Linked DNA regions of Nothobranchius furzeri. The protein of the gene in region 1 purifies or fractionates together with the protein of each later gene. This does not show direct contact. Links are inferred from orthologs where the notes say so. Each region holds a gene or a part of one and is shown in the gene's direction. Other genes may lie near its edges.

Evidence for each region.
Region 2: the proteins of phf19 (region 1) and eed purify together in Homo sapiens (affinity purification with mass spectrometry; 8 studies listed by BioGRID and IntAct, counting the BioPlex papers as one, with this or other methods). This does not show direct contact. The link is inferred for Nothobranchius furzeri from reciprocal best matches to the Homo sapiens genes PHF19 and EED.

Annotation. Positions count from the first base shown.
Region 1 is NC_091750.1:35,547,119-35,551,710, reverse strand, and holds the start of phf19 (PHD finger protein 19), read left to right. Parts: upstream 1-1,620; 5' UTR 1,621-1,892; coding exon 1,893-1,897; intron 1,898-2,230; coding exon 2,231-2,414; intron 2,415-2,507; coding exon 2,508-2,589; intron 2,590-3,038; coding exon 3,039-3,152; intron 3,153-3,230; coding exon 3,231-3,328; intron 3,329-3,407; coding exon 3,408-3,556; intron 3,557-3,628; coding exon 3,629-3,724; intron 3,725-3,799; coding exon 3,800-3,989; intron 3,990-4,592. Other genes in the region: fibrinogen C domain-containing protein 1, read left to right, coding at 222-401, 472-731.
Region 2 is NC_091743.1:86,053,451-86,057,870, forward strand, and holds the start of eed (polycomb protein eed), read left to right. Parts: upstream 1-1,332; 5' UTR 1,333-1,401; coding exon 1,402-1,506; intron 1,507-2,007; coding exon 2,008-2,160; intron 2,161-2,258; coding exon 2,259-2,351; intron 2,352-2,668; coding exon 2,669-2,734; intron 2,735-3,861; coding exon 3,862-3,987; intron 3,988-4,063; coding exon 4,064-4,145; intron 4,146-4,288; coding exon 4,289-4,380; intron 4,381-4,420. Other genes in the region: pwp2h (PWP2 small subunit processome component), read left to right, coding at 1-50, 121-271, 346-420, 516-675. UniProt on the Homo sapiens protein: Polycomb group (PcG) protein. Component of the PRC2/EED-EZH2 complex, which methylates 'Lys-9' and 'Lys-27' of histone H3, leading to transcriptional repression of the affected target gene.

The DNA of each region.
Region 1 (4,592 bases):
TCGTTGGACTCGTTTAGGTCTTTGAACATGTTTTTAGATGTGTGGATTTTTAATGCCGTTGGCTTTTATTCCCATCTTTTTAGACTCCTTTTGGGGTTTTTTGGACTCTTTGGACTGTTTCTTGGGTTTTAGATTTTGACCTTGTTTTAGAAGTGTTCTGCAGTGTGTTTTTAGAAACACGACCAGTGTGAAACTTTCCCACTGACCCATCCCCTTCCCAGGTCTACAGAGGATCTACTCACTCACCAGGTCGGGTGGTTTCGAGTTACGTATTGACATGGCCGACTTTGACAACGCCACAGCTTTTGCTCATTACTCAGACTTTTCTGTTGGTCGAGACTCTGTGAACCCAGAGGAGGATGGCTACCCACTGCTGGTGGATGGGTACTCTGGGACTGCAGGTACTGAACAGTACTACCTTTACCACACATTCCTGGTACAGCTTTAACACCGATGCTCTGCCTCCTCCAGGTGACTCTCTCCTGAAACACTCGGGGATGCGATTCACCACCAAAGATCGTGACCAGGACCAGTCTGAGAACAACTGTGCGGCGTACTATCAGGGGGCGTGGTGGTATCGGAACTGCCATACTTCCAACCTGAACGGGCAGTACCTCAGAGGAGGCCACGCCTCCTACGCTGATGGTGTTGAGTGGTCCAGTTGGACCGGCTGGCAGTACTCTCTTCAGTTCACTGAGATGAAGATACGACCCAGAAAACTTGAGTCCTAAACCAGGATCTTGGACATCAAACCAGCCAGGACCTGATATCAGTCCTCACCTGTTAAATAAAGTGTGACAACTATTTTTTCTACCTGTAAACAGCGGATGGGTTCCTGTTCACAGTCTCTATAGGCGGTACTTGTTTCTGTATGACTAATGTTTGGTTACATATTAGGGAGGTTTTAATATTAAAGGATCCGCTGCTCTTCCATTTGTCTCCTTGCTTAAATCTGATTTTAGATATGAATAAAAAACTGACATTTGCTGTGACATTTTAACAGTGTTTCAGTATTTTCTCACAAGTTCATGAACAAAAACAGAATAATATTCAGTAAAAAGCCAGCTAATGGTGCGGAGAACACGCTAACTCCATCCACGCTGTACCAGTTTGTCTGTGGAGTCGGGGGGTGTTTAAAACCGCCTTGCAAGGCGATGTCTTGTCACCTGACTACTCCACTTTTTAAAAACTTTGTACACCAACAAGTAAAAAATTCTTTGTATTTGATAGTGCAATAGGCTGAAGCCAAGACTCAGTTGTGCCTGTCAGACATGTTGCACTGTGCTCAGTTGTGTCATTGCAAGTAGAATAGTAAAATATAAAGTGAAACATTCAAAATGAAATATTTATATTTTAATGTAATTACAGTCTTTTCTCGCTACAAGATTTTCAGTGTAAAAGGTTTTGCTGCTACGTCAAACTAAGCCAAATAATGCTGTCTAAAATACAACAATAACAATGTAGTCTTTTACATCTTTAATCGGTCGTTAGGGATGGTAAGAATACTATTATGGATATCTGAATATTGTAAATTTTTACTAGCAAATAGGACTTAGTGCTTTCTGAGAGTGCCTAATAAATGTAAAAACGGCTTGCCATACATTCTGATTATACGGGGTTCGGATATGGCGTCATCACGTATCTACAAACATCCTGCGATTCGCGGGAAAATGAAAAAATGGCGATTGTGGGAGTTTGAAGTGAAGGCAGAGACTGCGGTGAGGACAGAGACCAAGAGACAAAGACGGAGGAAGGGACGAAGACCGGGGACAGACTAGAAGAGACAGGGGGACAGAGCAGAAGGGGCTCGCCGGAGGACCTGTGACCCTCCGCGGCTAACGGTGCAGTTCGGAGCGCCGGATAACGGGAGAGGAGGACACAGCCCGCATCAGATGAGGTGAGACGGCTCAGTGGAGAACCGGCTCCGGTTCTTGACAAGTCGGCTTCATTATGTGTCTGTGATTAAAAAAAACGTCAGTGTTAACCCCGTTTTATTGTAACTGGGTCTTGCCGGTAGTTTCTGGTCGGTAACGAGCTCAGGGTGTGGTGGTTATGTGGTTAGTAGGTTAGTTAACGGTCTGTGGTGGAGGGATGCACTGCGCATGCTCACACATGTCAGAAACCCCCTTGACAGTTCAGGAATGAATCAGAGTTCGACCGAGAGTTCCTGTGCGCGCGCCTTTTGTCTGCTTGTTCTGCTCAACGGTCTCTCTCTCTCCCTCCTTCCCAGGATGTTTGAGGACCTGGTCCAGGCCTTCTCTGGTGTGGAACATCAGGTGTGTCCAGGGGGCGGGGCATGTCTTAGTGGACCAATCCCAGAGGATGTTGAGGGGCCGGAGTCTTGCCTGACTATTGGTCAGTTCGTGCTCTGTCATTGGTCAGATGGACTGTACTATGTGGGGAGGATACAGAGGGTGAGTCCAGCTTCAGACACACCTGACATCACACTGTCAGTAGCATCACCTGACTGGTCGAGAGCTCAAAATGCTGTTCTGACTGATGAACAGGTGAGCTCCCCCAGGCAGAGCTGCTTCGTCACCTTCGAGGACAACTCCAAGTTCTGGGTGCTGTGGAAGGACATCCAACATGGTGAGACGGTTAGCTAACTAGCCAGTCACTTTCCCTTTAACTAGTCGGTTAGTCTGATTATCCTGATAGGTTATCGGAAGAATGGGTCAGCGGAAAACATGGATTATGAGTCTTCCTCATTAATATTCATGACGTGGGTTAGGGAGACTACATTAGGCATCAAGATGGTGTCTCCAGCTGAAGATGTGATGATGAGCTTTCAACCTGAACACAACTGGACCAGAACCACACATGGGGAGCCTAAGTCGCATAGTCCAAAACACAATATTACCTTTCGTTTGAGTCGAACTACAACATGCGCGTGATTCTGAGGAAAAGCCTAATCGCTTTCATCGCCCCGTTCACTTACGTTCATTTTTTCTTTGTTCTGGGGACTCGTGAGCCGACCGGGAGGGGAGGAGACTTAGGCTCCCTTCTGATGCATGAAAATCTGTCCAATCACATTACAGCTGGGATACCGGGGGAGGAGCCTCACTGCTCCGTGTGCAACGGAGTGGAGCCAAAATCTGAGAACCAATCAAAACACACCAATGGAATTCTGATTTGTGGAAAGTGTGGCATAGGTGAGTCTGGTGGGTTGGACAGAGACTGGCTGTGTGGAGATGGTGTCCCCTCACCTGTTTTACCCGTGTCTCTGGCAGGTTTCCACCAGCAGTGCCATGTTCCTCCAGTAGAGGGCGATAGCAGCGACCTGAGACCGTGGTTCTGCAGGCGCTGTGTTTTTGCTCTGGCTGTGCGGGTACCGGTTTTCCTTCCTGCCCTTCCTTCCTGTCTCTGATTGGTAACCCCACATGACCGGTCCTCCTGTGTCATCACAGAAAGGCGGTGCCCTGAAGAAAGGAGCGCTGGCCAAAGCTCTTTGGGCCATGAAGCAGGTTCTGCCTTACGACCTGACCTCTCTGAGCTGGGACTCTCAGCATAGGACCAATCAGCAGCAGTGTTACTGTTACTGTGGTGGTCCTGGAGAGTAAGTGTGACCAATCAGGACCAAGTCTGTCCAGGTGTGTTGAACCGGCAGCTGATGTTGTTCTGTGTGCAGGTGGTACCTGAAGATGATGCAGTGTTTTAAGTGTCAGCAGTGGTTCCACGAGGCGTGTATTCAGTGTCTGCAGGAGTCCATGATGTTTGGAGACAGGTTCAGAGACGGAAACTTCATCCAGTCCACAATTCCTCCTGTGGAAAATCCTGACTGTTGTCTGGTTTTTCTCAGGTTTTACCTGTTCCTGTGTGCCGTGTGCAACAAAGGGTCAGAGTATGTCCGCCGTCTGTCCCTCAGGTGGGTCGATGTGGTCCACATTGTCCTTTACAACCTGTCAGTCAGCAGCAAGAAGAAATACTTTGAGTTGGATGAGATTCTGGCCTTTGTCTCTGCCAACTGGGACCAGTTACAGCTTGGAAAGGTAACAGAACCTTCTGATCCAGAGCATATGTTCCCCGGGGGGCGTGATGGAAAGGCATTGAGAAACACTGGTTTAAAGTAACGATTGATAGTTGTTTTTTTTTTTACTTTAAGCTTGAGCTTTAACATTGGTCTCAGTGATTGTTGAGTTAGAAACTTGACCAGTTTCATGTTTGGCACCACTGCAGCCCCCTGCTGACTAAAAATCGCCCTTGATAGTTTTGTGGAGCGGGTAAGTGTCCCACATGGCGCTCAGTTTGCCGATCATCAATAAGAAGTTTGCTTTTCAAGTAAAAGTAAGTGAGTAATGTATGTGAAGGCGAAGCAGAAGAGCTAAAACCAGAGTGAACATCAGCGCAGCCTACACTCGTTTAAGGGAGCTAAACAAAAACATGGACTGATGGTGACCTGGCTTTGTTGCTACAGGACTTGTAAGTAATAATATTTTTGTCCGACAGTTTGGATTTTTTTTACTTACTGGCTTATTTTAGTATCAGTTGGCTGATGTTAGTGTTAGCTGATTGTTAGCGCTAGCTACAGCGAGCTGCTGGAGGGTTGTTTACGACAGTTGTAGTTCCACTTTCAACCAGTAGGGCAGAGGAGC
Region 2 (4,420 bases), on another chromosome or scaffold:
CGAGAACGCCCTGAAGCAGGAAGTTCTGGAAACGGTGCCGCACGATCAGAGTGAGTGGCTTTAAAAACCGTCGGCCAGGAGAGTTTGGACCTCTGACGCCTGACTGAGTTTGTGTTTCAGTCCCGGTGGTCTGTGGCTCTCTGCCCGACGTCTACGTGGAGAAGCTCCTGGGCTTCGTGGCCGATTGTCTGGAGAAGTCAGGTCACCTGCAGTTCTACATGACCTGGGCCCAGAACCTGCTGATGCTGCACGGACAGAAACTAAAGAACAGGTCGACACGGCTGCCTCGACTCGCATCATCATTATCATCATCAGTGTCTTAACTGGATCTCTTATGGTCCGCAGGTCTGGCTCGGTTCTGCCCACGCTGCAGGCGCTTCAGAAGAGCATCCAGAGACACTTTGACAACCTGTCAAAGCTGTACGTCTCAACACTGTTGCTCCATTAATCATCATAACTAAAATGAAGCATTAAGTCATTAAATATATATATTTATATATATTTTTTTTCCACAGCTGCAACTTCAACATGTACAACATCCGTTACGCTGTGGCGCTTTCAAAGCAGAAGTGTGTAAAGAGGCCTGCCGAGGAGGAGGAGAAAGAAGAGCAGGATGAAGGGTTGTCGGAGGAGATGAGCGAAGCCTCTTTAGATGACTCAGAGATGATCTTGTAGTCTGATTACTAAAAATGTCTCAGATTGACAGATGTTCAACTGTAAAAGTCCATTTTTCCATACTTTAAATATTAAAATAGCCTGTTTTTATAATAAATTCAGTAAAAGTGTCTTTCTTGTTTTTGGCTTTTTTCTGGTAAATTTATTCATTTGAGAGGCTGCTACGGGTTAATCTTTCAATTTGGCACGCAAAAAATATTTTTGGAGTTATTTCTTACTTATATTAGAAATTTACACTTAAAGACTGAATTGCCATTTGTGGTTAAAACTAGCTTTGCTGGGCAGTATTAAGTCAAAAGAAGTATTTCTAGAAATATAAAAGAACAAATCTAAAATATTATTTTTATTTAATACTAACAAAGGTAAATAGTACGACATTTTCAAGGAAAAAATACATTTTTACAGCTGAAGAATGTGGAAATATTGCCTTGAAATGTCCCAAGTTACTGTGTTAGACATTTAAATGTACAATTTAAGAGCAGAATGTATTCTTTTTAACAAATAGGTTGTTTAGGGAGTTAAAAAAAACACGGGATTTACTATTTTTAAACCGATCTGAATCCTGTCCAAAGTGAAATAAAGCAGAAAACTCAAAAAGTGGAAGCTTCTCCGTCAGTAACTAAACGTGACCAACAGGGGGTGACAGAGCGCCTTCTGAAAGTTCACCTTGCCTTAAATTAGATTGAAGAAGAAGGAACAGCGGGCGGGTTAGCCTTCGGAGCTAAAATGAGAGACAAGAGCCTGTCTGAAGCGGGAAAAGAATTACCGGCCAAAAAACAAAAACTAAGCAGTGACGAGAACAGCAACCCCGATTTGTCAGGAGACGAGAACGTAAGAGCTCTATAAACATTTCTGCAACTACAAGTGAACGTTTTAGCCGGTTAGCTCAGCGCTAAAGCAAGAAGCCGGAAAGCTAAAGAGCTTAGCTAGCTGGCATCTTTGTTCACCTGCAGCTGTGGTTCTGATGGTGGTAATGGCTCTAAATCAGTCTATGTGACCCACAGAAGCATGGGCTTTTATATTTAACCTCAAAAAGCCTGGCTTGTTCGATTTAGCTTCAGCAGGAGTGATTTAGAAGCTTGTATTTATTTACAAATTCCTAAAATAAGTGTTCAAATGCAGTTTATAATGTTTATTTTTCATTTTGAGGAAAGGAAAAACTTGCTGGTAGTCTGTTTTTCATGTTAAAAGTGCTTCAAACATTTGTTTCACTTATTTCTGTCCAAATAAAGCCTAGGTTTACTGGTACTTGTCCAATAAAATGAATGTGGTTAGGTTGGGTGTTTTGTTTTGGACATCTTGTCTTTCAGTAACCGCATCTCTGGTTTACAGGATGATGCGGTCAGTGTTGAAAGTGGGACCAACACTGAGCGTCCAGACACCCCCACCAACACCGCCAATGCCCCAGGCAGGAAGAGCTGGGGCAAGGGCAAGTGGAAGTCCAAGAAGTGCAGATATTCTTTTAAATGTGTTAACAGTTTAAGAGTGAGAATGTCTGCTGTTCTAAATACATTCAAATATCATCATTTACAGAATTTAGTTTACAGGTGAAGTGGGAGTGAAACTTTGTGGATATTTTTCAGGAGGACCATGGCCAGCCACTGTTTGGAGTCCAGTTTAACTGGCACAGTAAGGAAGGAGACCCACTGGTGTTCGCCACAGTCGGGAGTAACAGGGTAACCCCAAGCAGACAGATTTTATTTGGCTTTTTCTGGGTGTTTTCATGAATTTTTCTAGTTCAGAATCAATTTTCTGCTCATCAGTTCCATATCTTGCATGATAGAAAGATGGTGATGCCTTTCAAGCAATCAGACGTCCTTTTGTGTCTGATAAGCTGCTTCAAGTGTCCTTAATTTACTGTTACAGAAAATAAGAGATTTGACAAATTTTAAAGAATGATGATTATTCAGGACTTTTTTCATTAAAAATACACATTTCTTGTTGTGAAAAACATTTAGTTTTACATAAATGATATTTCTGATTTCTCTAACAGGTAACCTTGTATGAATGCCACTCTCAGGGAGAGATCCGACTGTTGCAGTCGTACGTTGATGCAGATGTATCCTTCCTGCTTTGGCTCAAACTAAACTTCACAAAAAGGAATCTGTTGTTCTTTAATTTAGATACAGATCAGTAAATGAAGATTTACAGATATGTTAACCCTTTAAGCGCCAAAGTCGCAGAATTGCGACAAGCAGCAATGTTGGATTTAATAAGCCACAGCAGCAGAAATGAGCCCTCATGCATGGGGAATGTGGTGGCGGTGATCGGGCCGTTGAAAACTCTGCTGGTGATCAATTCAGCCCCTGTCTATCAGCTATCCTCTATTATCTATCTATATCTATCATCTATCTAGCTATCATCTATCTAGCTATATAAATGTGTGTATAATAATAATGATTATGATGACAGTAAAAGATGTGTTCAGCAAAGGAGGTCAAGTTCACCTTATCCAGCTAACAGAGTTCAGATAAACATAACTTCACATGTTTTTGACGCATGACCAAAGCTTTCTTCCTGAGAGAGTGGGTGTGTCCTGTGAGTTTGGTAAAACTAACCATTATAGTAACCATGTGTGTGTGTGTGTGTGTGTATATATATATATAACAATTATAAACCAAATAAACTATAATTAAAGAAGGGATGAGTGAAATGTGTTCATGACACTGAAGCACCAAAAACAGTGTTCTTGATTGATACGCAGTAAACATAACAAAATACCAATAAAGTAATATGTGTATATATATGTATATATATATATATATATACACATACATAGTTATATACATATTCCTATGTACACATATATGTATCATAAACAATAACAACACTAAGAAAATAAGACAAACAAATCCGCAAATGTGATGCAATCCAATATGGCTGCTATCTGATGATGTCATAGTATGAAAATTGTGTGAGTGAATTTGTTCCTATCACAAAATTTGGCTCATACTGAAGATTTTTCTAATTTACAATATTCCTCTATCTCTAACCAGATTTAAGCTACAAGCTCTTTAAGTAGTGATATGAAAAACTTATATTTTACTGAAAAAACTATGGCGCCTAAAGGGTTAATCATCTTTTTCTCAACATCTATTTTGGAAAGACCCAAGAGTTGATCAGTAGCTGCAGAAATGTCAGAAACTTTTTGATTTCTGCGATTTTCTTGACTGAACGCGTTCCAAGGCAGATGAGAACTTCTACACGTGTGCTTGGACCTATGACACCAACACCAGCCACCCGCTGTTGGCTGTAGCCGGGTCCCGCGGCATCATTCGGGTCATCAATCACATCACAATGCAGTGCATCAAGGTAGTCTTCCTGTAGAGAACCTCTTTGAAAATGTGGCTTTGAGGGTCATTTAGTAGTGTGTTTGTTTCCCATCCAGCACTACGTGGGTCACGGGAACGCCATCAACGAGCTCAAGTTTCACCCAAGGGATCCGAATCTTCTCCTGTCTGTCAGCAAAGGTAAAGCCCCTGATGGTGATGGTCATCGACACGCCTCCAGATGCTCCTGGATCTTTTCCCTGACAGATTCAGTGTTTTTAGTAAAAGCTTACTTGTGTGAAAATGAATAAATGATGATTTGTAACATTTGAAATTTTCTTTAGATCACGCTCTTCGTCTGTGGAACATCCAGACGGATACACTGGTGGCCATATTTGGAGGTGTAGAAGGCCATCGAGACGAAGTCCTGAGCGCTGTAGGTGTTTCATTACATTTGATCACAATTTAAACTGTCA